Linked DNA regions of Xenopus tropicalis. The protein of the gene in region 6 purifies or fractionates together with the protein of the main gene of each other region. This does not show direct contact. Links are inferred from orthologs where the notes say so. Each region holds a gene or a part of one and is shown on either strand. Other genes may lie near its edges.

The links. Proteins that work in one complex are often made in the same cells at the same time.
Region 1: the proteins of sqstm1 (region 6) and vangl2 purify together in Homo sapiens (affinity purification with western blotting; 3 studies listed by BioGRID, with this or other methods). This does not show direct contact. The link is inferred for Xenopus tropicalis from reciprocal best matches to the Homo sapiens genes SQSTM1 and VANGL2.
Region 2: the proteins of sqstm1 (region 6) and trim25 purify together in Homo sapiens (affinity purification with mass spectrometry; 3 studies listed by BioGRID, with this or other methods). This does not show direct contact. The link is inferred for Xenopus tropicalis from reciprocal best matches to the Homo sapiens genes SQSTM1 and TRIM25.
Region 3: the proteins of sqstm1 (region 6) and nipsnap1 purify together in Homo sapiens (affinity purification with mass spectrometry; 4 studies listed by BioGRID and IntAct, with this or other methods). This does not show direct contact. The link is inferred for Xenopus tropicalis from reciprocal best matches to the Homo sapiens genes SQSTM1 and NIPSNAP1.
Region 4: the proteins of sqstm1 (region 6) and llgl1 purify together in Homo sapiens (affinity purification with mass spectrometry; 3 studies listed by BioGRID and IntAct, with this or other methods). This does not show direct contact. The link is inferred for Xenopus tropicalis from reciprocal best matches to the Homo sapiens genes SQSTM1 and LLGL1.
Region 5: the proteins of sqstm1 (region 6) and nipsnap2 purify together in Homo sapiens (affinity purification with mass spectrometry; 4 studies listed by BioGRID and IntAct, with this or other methods). This does not show direct contact. The link is inferred for Xenopus tropicalis from reciprocal best matches to the Homo sapiens genes SQSTM1 and NIPSNAP2.

What each region holds. Positions count from the first base shown.
Region 1 is NC_030684.2:137,173,455-137,177,725, forward strand, and holds the start of vangl2 (vang-like protein 2), read right to left. Parts: upstream 2,801-4,271; 5' UTR 2,559-2,800; intron 1-2,558. UniProt on the Homo sapiens protein: Involved in the control of early morphogenesis and patterning of both axial midline structures and the development of neural plate. Plays a role in the regulation of planar cell polarity, particularly in the orientation of stereociliary bundles in the cochlea.
Region 2 is NC_030686.2:52,267,935-52,272,035, reverse strand, and holds the start of trim25 (tripartite motif containing 25), read right to left. Parts: upstream 2,801-4,101; 5' UTR 2,545-2,800; exon of another isoform or gene 2,485-2,544; intron 1-2,484.
Region 3 is NC_030677.2:144,799,783-144,804,034, forward strand, and holds the start of nipsnap1 (protein NipSnap homolog 1), read left to right. Parts: upstream 1-1,452; 5' UTR 1,453-1,472; coding exon 1,473-1,555; intron 1,556-2,814; coding exon 2,815-2,942; intron 2,943-4,252.
Region 4 is NC_030685.2:16,025,426-16,029,378, forward strand, and holds the start of llgl1 (lethal(2) giant larvae protein homolog 1), read right to left. Parts: upstream 2,801-3,953; 5' UTR 2,656-2,800; coding exon 2,575-2,655; intron 1-2,574. UniProt on the Homo sapiens protein: Cortical cytoskeleton protein found in a complex involved in maintaining cell polarity and epithelial integrity. Involved in the regulation of mitotic spindle orientation, proliferation, differentiation and tissue organization of neuroepithelial cells.
Region 5 is NC_030678.2:98,152,533-98,156,752, reverse strand, and holds the start of nipsnap2 (protein NipSnap homolog 2), read left to right. Parts: upstream 1-1,420; 5' UTR 1,421-1,457; coding exon 1,458-1,537; intron 1,538-4,220. UniProt on the Homo sapiens protein: Protein involved in mitophagy by facilitating recruitment of the autophagy machinery required for clearance of damaged mitochondria.
Region 6 is NC_030679.2:22,196,071-22,199,355, forward strand, and holds the end of sqstm1 (sequestosome-1), read right to left. Parts: intron 1,070-3,285; coding exon 912-1,069; 3' UTR 501-911; downstream 1-500. UniProt on the Homo sapiens protein: Molecular adapter required for selective macroautophagy (aggrephagy) by acting as a bridge between polyubiquitinated proteins and autophagosomes.

The DNA.
Region 1 (4,271 bases), on a different chromosome or scaffold from region 6:
CAGGGAGAGGGTCACAACACCAGCCTAATTTTCAAAGATATCTTGCCATATATTGGTCAGAAAGGCCCCATGCAGTGGCCAATGCAAGCTTTAAATGCCTACATTTACGCCTGACCCACCATCCGCACCAGCCTGGGGTAATTCATGTGCCAAATACCCACCACTACCGAAAACCATCACCAGAGCTGCACATCCTGGCTATAACTACAGCCAAACCAGCGCCAAGATTTCTGGACTATGAACCCAATACCCTATGCTATAACTTGTTTTTATTCTCCCCACCTGTTACCCCCCAACCCTACTTTTTTGGCAGGTACCATCTGAATGAACCCCCCAGGCACCTAAATCATCTTCCCAGCCCTTTCACTAACGCTCCTTCTCATGGGGTGGGAATGTCACTTTTTTTTTTCTTTTATAAGGACCAACACTATCACCCTTTCTCCTTTGTAATTCTGTCCCATTCAGTGGGAAACAGCCACCCCCGCCGTGCCCTGATAGATCTACCCACCCCCCCTTCACAGATACTTGACCCTGACACTCAATTACTGGGCTCGGAATGCATTTCAAATTCATTAATTTTAGGTCACACACAAACATTTAATGCACACGCATGTAAATCGTATATACTGACAGATTATACACACACTAAAGGGGAAATAAACCCAAAAATACATTCACAGTCTTTAACTGTATTTTTTTGTTGTTCGCAGCTTTGTGGTTAATTATTAATGAGGCTCTGCTTTACTACACCGTGGTGTTATCATCGCTCCTTTATGGCATGAATGTAGAACAATAAACACCTATTTGTGTTCTGTAGGAGAGTAAACAGGCCGGCCCAGACGGCCCTTCCCGAGAGGCTAGCAACGGGGGAAACAATTGAGTGCAGAACGGCCGGTGTGGATTGGGTGTGAAGTGTAACGTTGGCAGTTCCTCCCCAAACCAACCCGCCCCAGGCAACTGACTTATGACCCAGGCTGATCCGTCAGGAGAGTCCCTGGCTTGGTGGGGCCTTGCAGGGATTTCAGTGGAATTCAAGGCCTTGGGAAGGGAAATGCGGCTGCTGCGAGTGCTCTGTGCCAGGCTTAGTAAGGCTCAGGCAGTGCTGAAAGGATCACTGACACCCCCAGCTTCCCATGGGAATGCCGCAGCTATGGATCTAACCAGGGGAATGGGAATCAAAGGCAAAATGAAGGATCAGGCTTACTTAATGGGAGATACTCCAGATGCTGCTGAAGGAGGGGTGCTGGGAGTTGCATCTTAAAAAGATCTGGAGGGCCTCAACTAGCCCATGCTTGATCTGATGAATGCAGGAGAATCAGGGCGGTCGGATCTAGATCCAACAGGAGGGCTGCTGTGCGGGGCAATAGGGCAAGGTCCATAGGGAAGGCTATGGTCAGCAGTAATAGGGATGAGAGGCAAGGCCGTGGCTCCCAGATCTAATGGGGGGGGGGGGGGGGGCTGGGGTGCAGGGCATTAGGGCAAGATCTAAAGGGAAGGATAGGGATCAGGAGTAATAGGGATGAGAGACAAGGGGGATCTAATAGGGGGGCTGGGGTGCAGAGCAATAGGGCTAGATCTAAAGGGAAGGCTTCAGCAGGGATCAGCAGTGATAGGGATGAGAGGCAAGGCCATGGGTCCCAGATCTAATGGGGGGGCTGTTGTGTAGGGCAATAGGGCTAGATCTAAAGGGAAGGCTATGGATCAGCAGTAATAGGGATAAGAGGCAAGGCCGTGGCTCCCAGATCTAATGGGGGGGGGGGCTGTTGTGTAGGGCAATAGGGCAAGATCTAAAGGGAAAGATGGGTGGCTCCCAGATCTAATGGGGGGGGGTACAAATGGGAGGTCTAGGGATCAGGATAATTGGATCCAGGCTGAAAGAAGGGATGAGGTGCAGGGCCATAGGGCCCCAATCTAATGGGAGGGCAAAGGCTTAGGGTAATTAGATCCAGGCTGAAAGAAGGGATGAGGTGCAGGGCCGCGAGGGCAGGATTTAATAGGATGGCCAAGTTTTAGGGTAATTGGACCATGAGGGGTATATATACAGGAAGGGCTGGAGTGCAAATGGGAGGTCTAAGGGTCAGAGTAATTGGATCCAGACTTAAAGCAAGGGATGAGGTGCAGGGCCACAGGGCCCAGAGCTACTGGGAGGGCAAAGGCTCAGGGTAATGGGATTTAGGCTGAAAAGAGGGATGAGGTGCAGGGCCATGGAACCCCACATCTAGCTGCTACCCAGAGCCAATGGGAGGCCAGGCATCAGGGTAACCGGACCCATAATAGTCAGTGGCACCCAGCTCTAACCAGAGGGCTTGGGTGCAGGGCTAGGGAATATGGGTACAGGGGCCCAAATGCCAAGCAGGCCAGTGAAACCCACAGTAACATAGGGAAAGGCATGTACCTGGGAAGCCAATGTAGGATAGAATGATAGATAGAATGATAGCAGGCAGTTGCAGGCAGCAGCAGGCAGTTTGAGGGCACAGCAAGGAGACTGTACCACTCTCACCCACCCATGGGGGGCACAATGTACCCGGCACAATCCACCCCGGGGGAGAGGTACTTACCAGGGCAGCAGGCAGGCTCCCGGCGGGCATGGGATCCCAGGCACTGGGGGAAGGGAGACGGACGGAGGCTGTTTGAGAAAAGGAGGCGGAGGGAGAAAGGGGGAGCGCCAGTCCTTTTGTAGGAGCCTCGCTGCGCCGGTATTGCGCCGGTATTGCGCTAAATCCACAGGGCGACACTCGGGGTGCGGGGAGAGGGGTCACAGGCGGCCGAACGGGGAGCGGGCGGGATCCCCCGGAGATCCACAACGCACAATCCTTAGGCTGTGAGAGAGAGAGCAGCGCTGTGCCTCCGCCCCCAAGCTCCATACACTTCTACGGCTGCAGCCCGGCAAGCCCCGCCCTCCCGGCAAGCCCCACCCACCGCTCTCCTCCCCCCTCCCTGCCCATTGTCTCACTTCCCCGGATCCCCTTTCTGTGGGGGGGGGGGGGGGCAAACCCAGCGCAGCTTGGGGCTTTAGCACTGATCTTATTTGGGATTTCTTTCCCCTCTCACCTTCTGCTGCTGCCTAATCGCTCCCTAAGGGCTGTTTAGCAAGTCATTATCAGAGGCCAACTAGCTGCCTGGTATATACTGGGGTGGGTGTCACAGAAGGGTTAATGTTAGGCTATCTGCCTATAGACTGAGCCTAACAATTCTACTGCTTAGTGATGTCATAGCCTTAACAATGCTGCTTAGTGATGTCATCCCTTAGAATGGAAGCTTAGTGATGTCACTGCTCACATGGCTCCCTGGTGTGTCTGTATCATTATATATAGTGAATAAAGTACCCCCTATTGTAACATATAGGGATATTATAAGGCACAGAAGGGTTCTATGGCCATATAAAGGTTATTTGTGGCTCTTGTATATTATATAGTGAATAAAGTACCCCCTATTGTAACATATAGGGATATTATAAGGCACAGAGGAGTTCCATGGCCATATAAAGGGTATTTGTGGCTCTTGTATATTATATAGTGAATAAAGTACCCCCTATTGTAACATATAGGGATATTATAAGGCACAGAGGGGTTCCATGGCCATATAAAGGGTATTTGTGGCTCCTGTATATTATATAGTGAATAAAGTGCCCCCTATTGTAACATATAGGGATATTATAAGTCACAGAGGGGTTCCATGGCCATATAAAGGGTATTTGTGGCTCCTGTATATTATATAGTGAATAAAGTACCCCCTATTGTAACATATAGGGATATTATAAGTCATAGAGAAGTCCCATGACCATAAAGGTCATGGAAATCATAGGTCACTTCTAATATCCTCATATTTTACAACAGGGGTACTTTATTTATTATAATATACAAGTTTAAGTGAGTCATGTGACAGAAATGACATCACCAAGCTCAGATTATAACTGATGACATTACTACTCACCATTTATAAGGATATCATTTATGGTTTGGTCCCATAGGGAAATTACTGTATATTATATATGTATATATGTACCTTTATATGGTCATGGGACTGGGGAAAAAACCCAGACCGATCCGGGGCACGCAGGTTGTCCTCTCTCGATGTGCCTAAGTATATGCGCTCGGGGGTTGGGTGGGCGGCGGGGGCCACATGGGGGTCTCTTGGGGGGGTTTAATTGGGCCCTGCAACCCCTCAGTCTGACCCTGATGGAACCCCTCTGTGACTTATAATATCCCTATATTTTACAATAAGGGGTACTTTATTCACTATATAATATACAAGAGCCACAAATACCCTTT
Region 2 (4,101 bases), on a different chromosome or scaffold from region 6:
CAGAGCCCATACTCACTGAGTGACTGGGGGACACACACTAATGGCTGACAGAGCCCATACTCACTGAGTGACTGGGGGACACACACTAATGGCTGACAGAGCCCATACTCACTGAGTGACTGGGGGACACACACTAATGGCTGACAGAGCCCATACTCACTGAGTGACTGGGGGACACACACTAATGGCTGACAGAGCCCATACTCACTGAGTGACTGGGGGACACACACTAATGGCTGACAGAGCCCATACTCACTGAGTGACTGGGGGACACACACTAATGGCTGACAGAGCCCATACTCACTGAGTGACTGGGGGACACACACTAATGGCTGACAGAGCCCATACTCACTGAGTGACTGGGACACACACACTAATGGCTGACAGAGCCCATACTCACTGAGTGACTGGGGGACACACACACTAATGGCTGACAGAGCCCATACTCACTGAGTGACTGGGGGGGGACACACACTAATGGCTGACAGAGCCCATACTCACTGAGTGACTGGGGGACACACACTAATGGCTGACAGAGCCCATACTCACTGAGTAACTGGGGGACACACACTAATGGCTGACAGAGCCCATACTCACTGAGTGACTGGGGGACACACACTAATGGCTGACAGAGCCCATACTCACTGAGTGACTGGGGGAAACACAATAATGGCTGACAGAGCCCATACTCACTGAGTGACTGGGGGACACACACTAATGGCTGACAGAGCCCATACTCACTGAGTGACTGGGGGACACACACTAATGGCTGACAGAGCCCATACTCACTGAGTGACTGGGGGACACACACTAATGGCTGACAGAGCCCATACTCACTGAGTGACTGGGGGACACACACTAATGGCTGACAGAGCCCATACTCACTGAGTGACTGGGGGACACACACTCATACTCACTGAGTGACTGCGGGACACACACTCATACTCACTGAGTGACTGGGGGACACACACTCATACTCACTGAGTGACAGGGGGACACACACTCATACTCACTGAGTGACTGGGGGACACACACCCATACTCACTGAGTGACTGGGGGACACACACCCATACTCACTGAGTGACTGGGGGACACACACTCATACTCACTGAGTGACTGGGGGGACACACACTCATACTCACTGAGTGACTGGGGGACACACACTCATACTCACTGAGTGACTGGGGGACACACACTCATACTCACTGAGTGACTGGGGGACACACACTCATACTCACTGAGTGACTGGGGGACACACACTCATACTCACTGAGTGACTGGGGGACACACACTCATACTCACTGAGTGACTGGGGACACACACTCATACTCACTGAGTGACTGGGGGACACACACTCATACTCACTGAGTGACTGGGGGACACACACTCATACTCACTGAGTGACTGGGGGACACACACTCATACTCACTGAGTGACTGGGGACACACACTCATACTCACTGAGTGACTGGGGGACACACACTCATACTCACTGAGTGACTGGGGGACACACACTCATACTCACTGAGTGACTGGGGGACACACACTCATACTCACTGAGTGACTGGGGGACACACACTCATACTCACTGAGTGACTGGGGGACACACACTCATACTCACTGAGTGACTGGGGGACACACACTCATACTCACTGAGTGACTGGGGGACACACACCCATACTCACTGAGTGACTGGGGGACACACACTCATACTCACTGAGTGACTGGGGGACACACACTCATACTCACTGAGTGACTGGGGGACACACACCCATACTCACTGAGTGACTGGGGGACACACACTCATACTCACTGAGTGACTGGGGGACACACACTCATACTCACTGAGTGACTGGGGGACACACACTCATACTCACTGAGTGACTGGAGGACACACACTCATACTCACTGAGTGACTGGAGGACACACACTCATACTCACTGAGTGACTGGGGGACACACACTCATACTCACTGAGTGACTGGAGGACACACACTCATACTCACTGAGTGACTGGGGGACACACACTCATACTCACTGAGTGACTGGGGGACACACACTCATACTCACTGAGTGACTGGAGGACACACACTCATACTCACTGAGTGACTGGGGGACACACACTCATACTCACTGAGTGACTGGGGGACACACACTCATACTCACTGAGTGACTGGGGGACACACACTCATACTCACTGAGTGACTGAGGGACACACACTCATACTCACTGAGTGACTGGGGGACACACACTCATACTCACTGAGTGACTGGGGGACACACACCCATACTCACTGAGTGACTGGGGGACACACACCCATACTCACTGAGTGACTGGGGGACACACACTCATACTCACTGAGTGACTGGGGGACACACACTCATACTCACTGAGTGACTGGGGGACACACACTCATACTCACTGAGTGACTGGGGGACACACACTCATACTCACTGAGTGACTGGGGGACACACACTCATACTCACCGGGATTTACTGACGGAACAACCTCTCACTCACAGAATGAGAAGAACTCGTAGGACTTACAGTAGTTGCGACAGAAGAAACTGAAAGCTAATTGGTTGATGGTGGACATGTGATATTGGGGAAACCCCTCCCAGTCACAGCAGGTTTCGTTTCCTGGTTTGCTTGGAGTGAAGCATGCTGGGTAGTGTAGAGCAACAACAAACGTTGTCCCTCCTACTGCAAACACAGAGTCATTCTGGGACTTGTAGTCCTGCCCCTGCAGTAAATACTGTAAGGGGGGGACAGGGGGCGGGCAGTTATCTGAATAGGAAAAAGGGATTAATTAGAATGGATTCCTGTGCTTGTTTTGTTATCCTATGTCCTCCTCCTATCCTACACAGCCCTGGGGCAGTAACCCCCACGTACTGTCTGCTACACAGCCCTGGGGCAGTAACCCCACATACTGTCTGCTACACAGCCCTGGGGCAGTAACCCCACATACTGTCTGCTACACAGCCCTGGGGCAGTAACCCCCACGTACTGTCTGCTACGCAGCCCTGGGGCAGTAACCCCCACATACCGTCTGCTACACAGCCCTGGGGCAGTAACCCCCACATACTGTCTGCTACGCAGCCCTGGGGCAGTAACCCCCACGTACTGTCTGCTACGCAGCCCTGGGGCAATAACCCCCACATACTGTCTGCTACACAGCCCTGGGGCAGTAACCCCCACATACTGTCTGCTACACAGCCCTGGGGCAGTAACCCCACATACTGTCTGCTACACAGCCCTGGGGCAATAACCCCCACATACTGTCTGCTACACAGCCCTGGGGCAGTAACCCCCACATACTGTCTGCTACACAGCCCTGGGGCAGTAACCCCCACGTACTGTCTGCTACGCAGCCCTGGGGCAGTAACCCCACATACTGTCTGCTACGCAGCCCTGGGGCAGTAACCCCACATACTGTCTGCTACGCAGCCCTGGGGCAGTAACCCCACATACTGTCTGCTACGCAGCCCTGGGGCAGTAACCCCCACATACTGTCTGCTACGCAGCCCTGGGGCAGTAACCCCCACATACTGTCTGCTACACAGCCCTGGGGCAGTAACCCCACATACTGTCTGCTACGCAGCCCTGGGGCAATAACCCCCACATACTGTCTGCTACGCAGCCCTGGGGCAGTAACCCCACATACTGTCTGCTACGCAGCCCTGGGGCAGTAACCCCCACATACTGTCTGCTACGCAGCCCTGGGGCAGTAACCCCCACATACTGTCTGCTACACAGCCCTGGGGCAGTAACCCCACATACTGTCTGCTACACAGCCCTGGGGCAATAACCCCCACATACTGTCTGCTACGCAGCCCTGGGGCAGTAACCCCCACATACTGTCTGCTACACAGCCCTGGGGCAGTAACCCCCACATACTGTCTGCTACACAGCCCTGGGGCAGTAACCCCCACATACTGTCTGCTACACAGCCCTGGGGCAGTAACCCCACATACTGTCTGCTACACAGCCCTGGGGCAGTAACCCCACATACTGTCTGCTACACAGCCCTGGGGCAGTAACCCCACATACTGTCTGCTACACAGCCCTGGGGCAGTAACCCCCACGTACTGTCTGCTACACAGC
Region 3 (4,252 bases), on a different chromosome or scaffold from region 6:
GCAGCCAGCCTTTTTTTTACCCGCAAGCCACACCCAAATGTAAATAAAGTTGTGGAGCAATACAAGCATGAAAAATGTTCACAAGGGTACCAAATAAGCGCTGTAATTGGCTATTTGGTAGCCCCTTTGTGGACTGGCAGCCTACAGGAGGTTCTGGTTGGCAGTACAACTGATTTTTATGAAACCAAAACTTGCCTCCAAGCCTGGAATTTAAAAATAAGCACCTGCTTTGAGGCCACTGAGAGCAACATCCAAGGGGGTTGGGGAGCAGTGTGTTGCTCACGAATCACTGGTTGGGGATCACTGCTGTATAATATATACATTGTTTATCTCTGTATAGAAATTTCTTAGGGTTCTAGTACCAACTGCTTGTTGGTAATTGGTTCTTGCACTCCTGAATACATCATGTCCTTATGCAGCACCTTCTGCTTGCTTAAATTGTGTGCTTATATCTTAATCTAAACATGAATATGGGTGCTTCTTTCTCTGCGGGGCCCAGACCAACATGCCATTGTCAACTTGTGACTGGTTTGGATATCAGCACTTGTCAGCACAATGCATTTACCAAACCTAGAGAAAATTATGCTTCCCATCTAATGGGAATGATGCTTTACATTTAATAGCTTTGGGGACCACATTAAATCTCTTTTGTTCCTAGACCCAACTTTTTTATTTTACTATCATATTACATCACTTGACTCCTTATTTAGGTCACTGGAGCCTGTTAATGTTAAATTCATAACAAAAATTGTTTATAAGCCCTCCTGTTGTTGTAGGAATACTTTTCCATGTAATACCAATGCAACAGTCAGGGTATGCTAAAAGTTGTAGTTCAGCAACATGTGGACTGTTGGTTGAGTGCCTGAAATACCAGTTTATGCCTATTTAGGAGTACAGTATAGGTACCAGACTTGAACCGATGGCTGTCTGAAGCAGCTAGGGTGTCAGGAGGGTAATTTAATGGTGGTTAGAAGTGTCATACTGGTGTGGATATAGGAAGGCACTGATACTGTAAGTAGGGTTGCCTCCTTTTCTGAAAAGTAATGCCGGCCTCCCTATATTTTTGTGTTTTTCCCGGTAATCACGTTGGCATTAATTATCATTTTTACTGACCAAGTGGCAACCCTAACTGTAACGCAAACCAGTCATTACTGACCCTCATATTTGGGGAACTCCTGATGATATATACAAATCCAAAAATCAGGGCACTTGTCAGATAGACATCAACACTGGGGTACTAAATTCAGTTCTGACAGGTCCACTGTTTGCAAGGAGTTTGTATGTTCTACCTTTGTCTGTCCGAGTTATACAGGTGCTCCAGTTTCCACCAAAAACATGCAGCTTAATTGGCTTGTGAGAAACTGACTAGCATGCAGGCCTCTAAGCTCCTATTAGGCTCCGCCTGTCCTCTCTCCCTCCCCTTGCTGGCTCAGTGCAGCAGCCCTAGGTTTCCTGTATTCACAGTCTGTAACATGCTGACTAGGGTAGCCCGGATTTCTCCTTTGCTCCAAAGCTCTGGGCCCAGCTCGGGGTACCTGCCGCTGCAGTTATGTAGGTAAGCAGCTGTGTGGCTCGTCTTTCTCTTTCTAGTGGCTTTACAGTTAAATATAAAATGGTTGCTTGCCCATGCCAGTTACCTGTCAAGAAGAAAGCAGTCCATTAGGCTTGCAGTGAAGCAGCAGCACAGTCACCTGTACATTCACCTGTCAGGGAGACTGCAACAGCTCTTGGTTAGGTTTATATTGTAGTTAGTCAGTGCATGTTCCTCTCCAATGCTGTGGGTATGCATTTACAATCACTGAATGCACTTACTATGTACTGTTGCACTTCCCTGGTGTAATGTAGGACTAGGTGCATGAGCTTTGATTTATTTGCTGTTTTTGGCAGATTGCAAGATGTCAACAGCATACTGCTTTTAACCCTTGCTGTTTTCGGCAGATCTTTTAATTACATTATCACTAGAATTAGAAAAGTACCTGCTTGCTGTGAATATTGGTACACAATGGGCAAGTCTGGTGCCTGATGAGCAATTCTGAAAGTTATGGGAACTGCAGAACTACCAGATTTATGTGGTGTTTTACAAGCCTGTTTAAAGTTCTGTGAATACTTGGTTGTTTTTTTGCAGAGTATTGTAGTGCTTGTTACCTGCCCCCTCTGTTAATAGGTTCCAAGTGCCTGTTGTCAGAGAAGATGTATAAAGGTCATGTTTGTTTGAGCTCTGTTAGTGGAAACCTCTGCACGTGAGCATCAGTGGATGATAAAGCATTTTGGGTTAAATCTGTGTAAATCCTCATACTTTGTTTCCACATGCTATTGCTTATAACTGACAAAATTTGTAATACCTTTTAGAAAGAGGATTAAAGTAATTGGTGTGTTTACGTGAATAAAGGTATGAACACTAGCAGCTGAGTTTGTGAAAAAATTATTTAAACTTAAATTTAATTTTAAAGGGGTTCTGGATTCTTCCAGTGAGTACCATGAAGCAATCATCTTCCTGCTTTGTAGTTCTTGCTACCCCATGGCTGACACATGTGCAGTAGAGTCAAAGAGCCACCGTTTGTAAAAATTTGGCATGAAGAGGATTGCTCCATGGTGCTCGCCAAAATAACCCCATGCTGGTGCAGTTTCTTCCAACAGGAGCACCAACCTGGAGTATCGTATAAGTGAATACATTCACTGGGTGGTGCCCAACTTTTTTGGATTCCCCTTACAATTGTGACTTTCCTTTTCCTTTAAGAAAAAAAAATACTTTTGGTATACATGCAGTATACTGATTATGATTGCACATTTCTTAATTCCTCTCTTTGAATTTAGATATGGCTCGGATTCCAGAGATAGTAGTTGGCTTCGCTCTCTCTTCGTGCGCAAGGTAGATCCTCGCAAAGATGCACATTCCACTTTATTGTCCAAGAAGGAGACGAGTGGTCTCTACAAGATGCAGTGTGGGTACCTAGTAAAAACTGTGGTTGTGCTGAGGGAAAATAGTAGCCATTCCTTCTGAATCTATATGTACAGATGAGTACAATAAGATGGTGCGAAAAGCACACAAAGTTGCTAATCAGCATTTTAAAGGTGGTTTAACTTTAAGTTAAGTATGTTATAGAATTCCTAGCAAATTTGCAATTGTTCACAATTATTTTGATTTTTAATTTTTAACCTTCCTTTATTTTGATTTTTAATTATCTACCTTCCTGTACTATGTCTTATTAGCTTTCAAATGGGGGTCACTGACCCCAACAGCCAGAAACACTATTGTTCTGTGAAGCTACAGTTTTATTGTTATTGTTACTTTTTTAATTCTTATATTCTTATTGAGTCCCTCACCTTTTCATGTTCCAGAATCTCATTTATATAACTTCCTGATTGCTAGGGTAAATAAGACCCTAGGCGAACTTACCCTTTAGGGCTCTGGCACACGGGGAGATTAGTCGCCCGCGGCAAAACTCCCTGTTCGCGGGCGACTAATCTCCCCGAGTTGCCTTCCCCTGCCATCCCATCGGCGACAATGTAAGTCGCCGGTGGGATGGCAGACGTGGCGGGGTGATTTCGGGAAATCGCCGAAAAAGACCCGTGAGTCTTTTTCGCCCGATTTGCGCGAAGTCGCGCCGCCGCGTGTGCCATCCCACCGGCGACTTACATGTTTGCCAGTGGGATGGCAGGGGAGGGCAACTCGGGGAGATTAGTCGCCCGCGAACAGGGAGTTTTGCCGCGGGCGACTACTCTCCCCTTGTGCCAGAGCCCTTAATCAATTTTTGTCACCATAACTAAAAACAAAAATGTGATCTTTTAAACCTAAAATACCTAAAATACTACCTCCAGTATGAAAACGTATTTTATAATGTTCAGAATACTAAAGGGAAACAGTTCCAAATATATATATACTTTGTATCCCCAATTGCCTCCTTTATGCCATGTGGCAGTTGCACAAGACCTTTTTTTTTAAGAGTCACATATGGAAGAAGGAGTGAGCCCTTTAAAAAGAAATGTGCATCCTCAATGGACAGTAATGTAACTTGGTGATGCCGGGCCCCCCTGCAAAAAAAAAAAAAGGCATTAACTGTGGTACAGCAGACCCTATAGTCCATGCCCCCCACCCATGACTGGGATCAATATCCTTTTAGGAAGAAAATGTAGTGCCACCTTACTTGCCTTTCGCAGGCATGCCTTAGACCTATTTTATTTCACTACAGTTGCCCTTTAAAGGTTAAGTTTATGCAATACAAAAAAAAAAAAAATCTTAGCCTGAGAGAAT
Region 4 (3,953 bases), on a different chromosome or scaffold from region 6:
TGAGTACAAAACACAACAGTGAATGAAGTTAGCATTAACCCCTATGGGGCTGCGGAAGCATTTGCAGCTCCATGAGACTCCTCCCCCCAATCAACCCTGCACGTATTTCACAACAACAACAAAAAAGTTTGTATTAACCCATAAATAAACTTGTCTGTAAATCAGCTGGTGCTTGCTACATTGTTTCAACAGTGGAGACCAGCAGTGCAGATACAGCTTTCAACTCCAATTATGTTCAAGCCCTTTTGGGGGCCACATAAGAGGCCCCTGAAATTACAATTGTTACCCATCACTGCTCTAAGTTTGGGTTGTATCAGGCTTACATATTAAGGTGGTTGGGGGTACGACACTAGGTATGAGGTATCTGGGGGTAACAAGGTGGAAAGAGCCCTAATGAGCATGGCCCTCACTGCCCCCATTATTAGTTGTTATACAAAGGTTATCTGTTTCATGTATCCACCCCGTCGGAATTAGTTGGTGCCTTGTGTAAATACTAGTTACACAATATCATCACAGACAGTTACTTATCAGTACTAACTGGATCTCCTGCACATACTTCAGCAATAGCGGAGGGGTCTCTTTTCCATTCCACTGCTAAAGGAGGGGGGAGTCACACACACAACATGGGGCTGATACAGAAGAGAGGAGCGCCTCGTACACATCAGAATCCGGCACTAAAGGGGGGGCCCTAACATAACAGCAGCCAATGCACATCTGATTGGGGTGTCACCATAGAAGGATTGGGAAAGTACAAACGCTCACAGTATTGGGGAGCTGCTCACAAGCAATTCCTGTACATGACTGGATTTTAGTTCTCAGCAACCAGCATGTAACACCCCCAGGAATTGGTAAGGGGGTGCCATACAGAGTAATAACTTCAGTAATTAGGGGCGCATAGGCTTCATACAGAGAGTAATATCCCCAGTAATTAGGGGCGCATAGGCTTCATACAGAGAGTAATATCCCCAGTAATTAGGGGCACATAGGCTTCATACAGAGAGTAATATCCCCAGTAATTAGGGGCGCATAGGCTTCATACAGAGAGTAATATCCCCAGTAATTAGGGGCGCATAGGCTTCATACAGAGAGTAATATCTCCAGTAATTAGGGGCACATAGGCTTCATACAGAGTAATATCCACAGTAATTAGGGGCACATAGGCTTCATACAGAGTAATATCCCCAGTAATTAGGGGCACATAGGCTAAATACAGAGAGTAATATCCCCAGTAATTAGGGGCACATAGGCTTCATACAGAGAGTAATATCCACAGTAATTGGGGAGGGGGTGCCATACACAAAGTAAAGTAATAACTCCAGTAATTAGGGGGTGCACAGGCTACAGACAGAGTAATATCCCCAGTAATTGGGAAGGGGGTGCCATACACAGAATAATATCCCCAATAATTAGGGGGTGCATAGGCAACATACAGAGAGTAATATCCCCAGTAATTAGGGGGTGCATAGGCAACATACAGAGTAATATTCCCAGTAACTGAAGATGGGGGTGCCATATAGAGTAATAACTCCAGTAATTAGGGGGTGTATAGGGGACATACAGAGTAATAACACCAGTAATTAGGGGGTGTATAGGGGACATACAGAGAGTAATACCTACAGTAATTAGGGGGTGTATAGGGGACATACAGAGAGTAATACCTACAGTAATTAGGGGGTGTATAGGGGACATACAGAGTAATAACACCAGTAATTAGGGGGTGTATAGGGGACATACAGAGTAATAACACCAGTAATTAGGGGGTGTATAGGGTACATACAGAGTAATAACACCAGTAATTAGGGGGTGTATAGGGGTACATACAGAGTAATAACACCAGTAATTAGGGGGTGTATAGGCTACATACAGAGTAATACCTACAGTAATTAGGGGGTGTATAGGGGACATACAGAGTAATACCTACAGTAATTAGGGGGTGTATAGGGGACATACAGAGTAATACCTACAGTAATTAGGGGGTGTATAGGGTACATACAGAGTAATACCTACAGTAATTAGGGGGTGTATAGGGGACATACAGAGTAATACCTACAGTAATTAGGGGGTGTATAGGGGACATACAGAGAGTAATACCTACAGTAATTAGGGGGTGTATAGGGGACATACAGAGTAATAACACCAGTAATTAGGGGGTGTATAGGGGACATACAGAGTAATACCTACAGTAATTAGGGGGTGTATAGGGTACATACAGAGTAATACCTACAGTAATTAGGGGGTGTATAGGGGTACATACAGAGTAATACCTACAGTAATTAGGGGGTGTATAGGGGACATACAGAGTAATACCTACAGTAATTAGGGGGTGTATAGGGTACATACAGAGTAATACCTACAGTAATTAGGGGGTGTATAGGGGACATACAGAGAGTAATATCCCCAGTAAATGGGGAGGGGGTTCCATACACAGAGGGGAAAACGGGGTCCCATAGACCTAGGGGAAGGGAGATACCATGAAGTACTACACGGGGGGGGGTTAATAATTGAGCCCCATACAGAGCCAGTGCAGCACAAAGCACACAGCCGCACTAGGGCTCCCCGCACAACAACACCCACCTTGTTGAAGGCAAACAGTTCCTGCTTTATCTTCTCCCTCTGCGGGTCATGGCCCTGCCGCCTGAACCTAAACTTCATCATGTTGCCGGCGGCCCGGAGCTGACGCAGCCGCTGCCCGTACAGCAGCAGCCTCCCCTCTCTGCAGCCACAGTTAGCGCACACACACACAGGCGGCTGGGGAACTTGATCCAGCCCGCCGCTTGATTGGCGTTCTTATCGACCAATCACAGAACTCTCCAGGGAGCGTCGCTTTGCCCCTTTTCTTTAAGAGCATCAGTACAGGCATCGCGCCTGCGCGGAATGGAGCAGGGGAGGCTGGGAGTTGTAGTTCTTTGTGGGAAAATTCTTACGTTTGTAGTTTTCTTTCAACTTTTTTAACTTTTGGATAATCAAGGCTGGATTTTGTGAATTTATCCGAATATCTTTTATTTACACTGTGCAATTGGTTCCTTTGCTTAGCTAGGCTTTCTTATCCCAATCGGTTTCTGTGAAAGCTCAGATTTATGAGGTGAATGATGTTAACAATGGGTTTCAGAAAGGACCATTGCGTCTCTGTACTCTGTTATAGAGGGCTTGAACCTCTACCATAAAGTGTGGAAGAAATGCTGCTTTGTTAAATACAGGAAGGTTTCCTTGTACAAGCACAATAGTTACCATATCTGTACCCCCTACTGTAAATGATAAGGATATTAGCAGTCACTGAGGGGTTCTGTGCCCATATAAAGGCACAAGGCTGCAGGCTGAGTTATACAGGGAACTCTGAGTATCACTCATGTATTATAAGGGATAATGTACCCCCTACTGTAAATGATAAGGATATTAGCAGTCACTGAGGGGTTCTGTGCCCATATAAAGGCACAAGGCTGCAGGCTGAGTTATACAGGGAACTCTGAGTATCACCCATGTATTATAAGGGATAAAGTACCCCCTACTGTAAATGATAAGGATATTAGCAGTCACTGAGGGGTTCTGTGCCCATATAAAGGCACAAGGCTGCAGGCTGAGTTATACAGGGAACTCTGAGTATCACTCATGTATTATAAGGGATAATGTACCCCCTACTGTAAATGATAAGGATATTAGCAGTCACTGAGGGGTTCTGTGCCCATATAAAGGCACAAGGCTGCAGGCTGAGTTATACAGGGAACTCCGAGTATCACTCATGTATTATAAGGGATAATGTACCCCCTACTGTAAATGATAAGGATATTAGCAGTCACTGAGGGGTTCTGTGCCCATATAAAGGCACAAGGCTGCAGGCTGAGTTATACAGGGAACTCTGAGTATCACTCATGTATTATATGGGATAATGTACCCCCTACTGTAAATGATAAGGATATTAGCAGTCACTGAGGGGTTCTGTGCCCATATAAAGGCAC
Region 5 (4,220 bases), on a different chromosome or scaffold from region 6:
CACAGAAACACCTAATATAACTGTCTCTGTAATCTGCTCCTATGGAGAAATCCAGCTGCAAAACAGTTGCAGGGGAGGAGGGAATTAAACATTGATGTTACAAATTGTAACAATTTCTCCACAACTTAAAAACAGCATGCAAAAACTACACAACCCACAGTGCACAGTGATGTTCCTTTCCTTATTGACATCACATATGCAGGGAATTCCAGGATTTGGGAGATGTTGTCTGAAGGCAGGCTGACACAGTCGACTACTGTTACATTTGTTTGAGTCTCAAAGTAGTCAGCCAAATAAGCAGGAAAACAAGGGGGCTAGGATTAGTTAACTGTCCCAAACCATATTATTACATAAAAAATTATTAAAAGGATGCATATTTTTTAAATTGATATAAATTGCAAAGTTGCTTGAAATTATATATACTTTTCAAAAAGCTTAACTTGTGTTTGGGTGGAGTTCCCCTTTAAGTCATGCAAGTAAATATTCGAACTATGGGTCGATTACTCACTCTGCCTTGATGCAAAAATCTGTAGATGCCTATTACCATCAATACTTTAAACTTCCAGTATACTAATACAGCAATATATTCATATTCGCAGTAGGTTACACTGCATTTAGGCCCCATTAGGAAGGGCACCTAAATGCACAAGGCTAATTACAGATAGGGTACACAGCATATAACCATTTCTGTTCCTAAGTACCTGACAGAGCCCTTTTGGGCACAAAGCATTGCTCTTTCCACTTTGGAAGATGAAAAAAATTAACTGCAGTGTCCCAGAGGGTGAATAGAGATAGGGATATGGGTAAACCTAGGAAGCTTAGTTAGAAAAGTGCTGGTGATTTGGAGCACGTTTTGGAAAGGAAAGCCAGGGGGCAATACCAAAATGCTACATGTAGTAGGGGTGACTTCTTCATGTAAACATTGAAGCAGGGCTGTACAATAAGTGGGTATATACAATGAAAACTTACCGATAACTGAAATAAGAGGGCATGCCCGAAAGAGCTTGCAATCTGAAAGTATAATGACCCTTGAATCCTGCCCATTCCAATCCACGCACCCTATTTTTCCTCCCTAAAAAGGATAAAACGTTATCAAATACATGAATCCTTAAAAGCTCTGTCTACTACAAGCTCTAAAATAAAAGAAAACGTGGTTTGTTGCTATAAGTACTTTGGCGCTATTTAGCCCCTATGCAAAGGAAAATAAAACCTAGTTAAATATCCCACAATGGAACGAATAATCAATTCGTATTTAATGGAACTACAACATCTACATTTACGCAAACTTATTTGTCTCGGACTGACCACACACATACACTGTTGAAGCATTTTATTGTGGTTGTTTACAGCGCCGCCAAGGTCGCCATCTGGTGGCCTCCTAAGATATTGCGGCGCTGCTCCACCTCTCCCCGCCCCCGCAGCCTGACGTTCGCTGGCAAGCGCAGCAGCCCGGGAAGATGGCGAGCAGAACCATGTTGGTGGCTTTGAGTAGGACAAGCAGAGCCCAGGCCTGCGGGCTGAGACCTTTGGCAATCAGGTGAGAAATTGCAAGGAAATGTCAGTCTTCTTGCTGATAGGCCACTGCTGGATCTAACAGTGCGCAAATGATACCTCTATGTACGTCTCGGGGGTGGAGCAGGGCAGAGACAGCTAATAATTGCGCCCGTAAATGCGCTCGCTATGTCGGGGCGCTAATACTGTTTAGCAGAATTACACAGATCAGTGTGGGTTCTGTGCCAGTTTAATGCATGGTGGGTAGAAGTGCAGCTGGCACAGAGCAGCTGCGGGGAGATTCCGCTCAAGGTCACTATTTGTGCAGGCAATGTGTTCCCATAGGCTAAGCGGCACAACAGATGGAAAGTGGCTGAGCGGTGTGGCCCTATTTACTGTTACTAGAGCAGTGTTGCTCTATTACTGTCACTAATTATGTTAAAGGAATACTAACATGAGAAAGCATGTTTTTTTTCCCAAAACACATAAGTTAATAGAGCTTGTTTTCAGCAGAATCCTGCATTAAAATCCATTTTCAAAAACACAGATTTTTATTTTATAGTTAATTTTGAAATGTCAATACATAGTAACATAGTAAGTTGGGTTGAAAAAAGACATACGTCCATCAAGTTCAACCATAATGCCTATATATAACCTGCCTAACTACTAGTTGATCCAGAGGAAGGCAAAAAACCCCATCTGAAGCCTCTCTAATTTGCTGCAGAGGGCAATTGGACCAGTCCCATGATCAACTAGTACTAAGAGCTATCTCCCCAGGGCCGGATTTCTGTTTTGGGTGCCCTGAGGCCACCCCTGTCGGTCGCCCCCTCCCCACCCGTGCGCATGCACGAAAGTGCCCCCAGTGCGCATGTGCGAAAGCGCCCCCCCGTGCGCATGCGCGAAAGCGACACCACCAGTGCGCATGCACTCCTTTAAACTCCCATACGGAGCAGTGGGGAGAGGTCCCGACTGCTCCGTATGGGAGCCAAATTTAATTTTTTTTTTGCGGCGGGGCGGCATGCCGCCCCTAAACTTCTGCCGCCCTAGGCCCGGGCCTTTGTGGCCTTTCCACAAAGCTTTTTGGTAGAAACGCTATAGCTCCCAGCTTCTGAGGTGTCAGAATAATACATATATCTTGGATATTGAAACTTAATATTTCATATCTCACATACATACATATGTGTAGAATAATGTGTGTACGTTTTTTCTTGTAAGATCATCATTTATTATACAATGTGGTATTGTATATGCATACACTGGGCTTGTTTACAAAGTTATTAAAGGCCCATAAACAATTATAGCACCATACACCTGTGAAAATATACAGGGAGGAAAAATCTAATATTGCTTCAGTGTGTTCCCTGCATATATGTACTAGTGCCTAGTGCACCATTTGCTGGCCCTAGTTCCAGTTTATCATTAACTACTAAAGACCGGTACTCTACACTACTTCAGTGTATGCACAGCTTTTTTTACTGGATGGCAACTGCAAAATAGATACATGTGTGGTAATATGGGATGGAGAAAACTGAAATTGTTCAGGGATAAAATGTAACTTTATGTTTAAAGTTCCTTTCTCTTACTGTATTATACCATGATTTGTAATGTAACAACAGCCATTTTATGCAATGCAGTTTAGTGGGGGTCGAAACGCAATGGGTTTCCTTATGTGAATAAAACTTTTTTGGACTAAGCTTTCTTGAGTGCTATGCTGTTTTTATACTATTTTGAAAATTTTGGGTATCTTCTAGGGGACCCCGCAGTGAGCATCATAAAGAATATATTTACATATATATAGTAATAAAGGAGTGTATCACTAAATACTAATTCAATCCAAAGTGTTCAACTGAGCTAGGTTAAATCCTTATGTCATGTGATGTTACATTTATTGGTAATTGAACATGACAGTTTGATGTTTACAAAAGTTTGAAAACCCCCTCAAAATGACCCCCAGTATCATATAGATATATATTGTAACAACACAGAGACACCACGCATTCCTTGGTCTTTTAAAGTATACTTTATTAAATCATGCCAAAATCAACATTTTGGTTCTTAGAGCATTTCTCAATACAGAAAGCCAAAACATTGATACTGGTATGATTTGATAAAGTATATTTTAAAAAGTTGTGGAGTGCAACATAGTATGTGATTCTTTTCCAAGCACCCAGGCATTGAAAATTTATTTAATCACATAATGTCAATATACAACATTTCCGTACTCATTAGGGCCTATCAGTACACTCGTATATATATATCTATACTAAACTAACTTTATATGTGGGTTGGCCTTTTGTTGGTTGATCTTTTCTATATAGAAAAAGAACCCCACTGTTTGTCTATACTTTTTATATATACTTGTAAAGAGTAATCATGTCCTATGCATAGGTTAGAATAAGTACAAAATGTTGTTTTCTTAAAAAATTCTTTGTGTGCACCACAATAGGCAAAACTATGTTTTTGTCAATCAAAATCTATTGTGCACAAAACCATTCTGGCGCAAAATCATAGTATTGTAATCGGCATTGTATTCAATTCTTATACCATATTACCCCTCCAAAATCTTTTTAACCACCAATGTCAAACTAACGTCTAGAAACCTAAATCAACTCCAAAGTCAAATCTTCAGAATGGCAGAGGGCACTGAACGGAATTTCTTATTTAGCAGTAAGTATTCCCCAGTCAGCATGTTGCATATATCCATAGGAATGCTGGCTGCCCTTTATCAG
Region 6 (3,285 bases):
AAACCCCTAAAAATAGAAAATTACATTTAAAGTATTCAGAGGAGCAATGGTTGTCTTATTTCTTCTACAACCAAAGAAAACAGTGTCTGCCCTTCTGATGTTTGAATAATATCGCCAGGTTTAGTAATCTCTTACAGTAGATAACAGCAAGATTATGAGTAGATTGCGTTAAGGCAGGACTGAAAAAATGCTTATATATACAATTAAAGGGTTTATGAGCATTTCATAAAGTCCCTTCATTGCATTTCTGAGCCTTACAAAGCAGCAGTGCCAAGCTGAACTATAGATGCAAGAAAATTCTTCAGTGGGGCTTATTTTTGCTATGACAGCCATCTTGCTGACCCAGTAAAGATGATTTAAACTTTTTGATTTAACAATGTATAAAATATTAGGATGGACATAACAATTTTAGCATACAAGGGCTAGAAAAAAAAAATGTGTGTAATGCTACCGGCCCCAACTTAAGGAAATAAGAACAGAGGTCCAGTCAAACACAGAACTGACTTTTAAGTGCACTGGATAAGTTTTATTTTTGTTACTTTGAGTACAGGAATAGCACAGTCTGAAAAGACATTTCCCTTGATTTTATGCTTATTACCAGGATAAAAACTTCTTTTACCATCCCCTGTAACCATAACCATAAAGTGTGACTGAACTCAGTGCACAGAAATATTTGCTGGTTACAGTATCCTTTGTTTAACTGACACTGTAGAAGCAGAAACTCATAGAAGTTATGAATTGAATAAATGAATGCTTTAGAGCAGACAAAGAAAATTTTATTTAACTTCAATAAGAAAAAAGGACTTGACTCTCTTGTACCAACAGTGTGTGAAATCAGGTTACACTAACAAACAGATAATACAAATAAGGACAGAAAGGGAACAACAGAATGGCTGAACTCAAAGTCTTGCTTAGGAGGGAGGAATGTGGCGTATAGACTGCATGGCATCCAGAGCAGACCCAATATCGAACTGTTTTGCCTCCAGGAGCCGAGTGAGCCATCCTCCCTCATCTGTGAAGCCCATGGAAAGCATCTGAGAGAGAGATTCTATGAGGCGAGGATCTGCTTCTGTATAAGAAAGTACAAAGCAATCTGAGTCACATAATAACCACATATTACAATGCTTTAGTAGCACCTGCAAACAAAGATACCAAGCCAAATAGAGCCTCTGTGTTCCAGTCTGCCATTAGATCCTAAGCCAGGATGCTAGGACTAGTGGGGCCCTAACTACCAGATAACTGTTTACAGTGGAAACTAGAGACCAGCATAACAAAAGATAAAATAATATGAAAACTGTGCAGCAAAAAATGACCCAGGATTAATGGTTTGCACTTTCTAATGCATACTACAGATGAATGTGATCCTTCCCCTTAAGGTTATACAGCATACCCAACTAAATCCAAAGGGGCCTGCACTGGAAAGATCTAAAGATGTTGGCTTTATCCAAACATCCAAGGTACTTTTTACTGGGTTACAGAGGTCTGTGGAAAAGCTGGCTACAGCAGTGGAGTGTTGTCTGTGGCAGAGAAATTAGAAAATCATTGAACTTCTAAAATACATAAATACAGTGGAGGAAATAATTATTTGACCCCTCACTGATTTTGTAAGTTTGTACAATGACAAAGAAATGAAAAGTCTCAGAACAGTATCATTTCAATGGTAGGTTTATTTTAACAGTGGCAGATAGCACATCAAAAGGAAAATCGAAAAAATAACTTTAAATAAAAGATAGCAACTGATTTGCATTTCATTGAGTGAAATAAGTTTTTGAACCCTCTAACAAAAAAAGACTTAATACTTAGTGGAAAAACCCTTGTTTGCAAGCACAAACGTTTCTTGTAATTGATGACCAAGTTTGCGCACATTTTAGGAGGAATGTTGGTCCACTCCTCTTTGCAGATCATCTCTAAATCTCTAAGGTTTCGAGGCTGTCTCTGTGCAACTCTGAGCTTGAGCTCCCTCCATAAATTTTCTATTGGATTAAGGTCCGGAGACTGACTAGGCCACTCCATGACCTTAATGTGCTTCTTCTTGAGCCACTCCTTTGTTGCCTTTGCTGTATGTTTTGGGTCATTGTCGTGCTGGAACACCCATCCACGACCCATTTTCAGTTTCCTGGCAGAGGGAAGGAGGTTGTCGTTCAGGATTTCACGATACATGGCTCCGTCCATTTTCCCGTTAATGCGAATAAGTTGTCCTGTGCCCTTAGCAGAAAAACACCCCCAAAGCAAAATGTTTCCACCCCCATGCTTGACGGTGGGGACGGTGTTTTGGGGGTCATAGGCAGCATTTTTCTTCCTCCAAACACAGCGAGTTGAGTTAATGCCAAAGAGCTCTATTTTGGTCTCATCAGACCACAGCACCTTCTCCCAGTCACTCACAGAATCATTCAGGTGTTCATTGGCAAACTTCAGACGGGCCTGCACATGTGCCTTCTTGAGCAGGGGGACCTTGCGAGCCCTGCAGGATTTTAATCCATTGCGGTGTAATGTGTTTCCAATGGTTTTCTTGGTGACTGTGGTCCCTGCTAATTTGAGGTCATTAACTCCTCCCGTGTAGTTCTAGGATGCTTTTTCACCTTTCTCAGAATCATTGACACCCCACGAGGTGAGATCTTGCGTGGAGCCCCAGAGCGAGGTCGATTGATGGTCATTTTGTGCTCCTTCCATTTTCGAACAATCGCACCAACAGTTGTCACCTTCTATCCCAGCTTCTTGCAAATTGTTTTGTAGCCCATTCCAGCCTTGTGCAGGTCTACAATTTTGTCTCTGACATCCTTGGACAGCTCTTTGGTCTTTCCCATGTTGGAGAGTTTGGAGTCTGCTTGATTGATTGATTCTGTGGACAGGTGTCTAGTTAAGACAGGTGTCCTTAATGAGGTTGACTAATTGAGTAGAAGTGTCTAACCACTCTGTGGGAGCCAGAACTCTTAATGGTTGGTAGGGGTTCAAAAACTTATTTCACTCAATGAAATGCAAATCAGTTGCTATCTTTTATTTAAAGTTATTTTTTCGATTTTCCTTTTGATGTGCTATCTGCCACTGTTAAAATAAACCTACCATTGAAATGATACTGTTCTGAGACTTTTCATTTCTTTGTCATTGGACAAACTTACAAAATCAGTGAGGGGTCAAATAATTATTTCCTCCACTGTATATAAAATCTGAACCTCAAATGTGGTACAAAATAACAGCCACATTAAAAGGGCTAATTGTTTGACTACATATCCCTTTAAAGTTTGGTTTGTGGCCTACATGTTTGAAAATAAATCCAGTATAAAACAA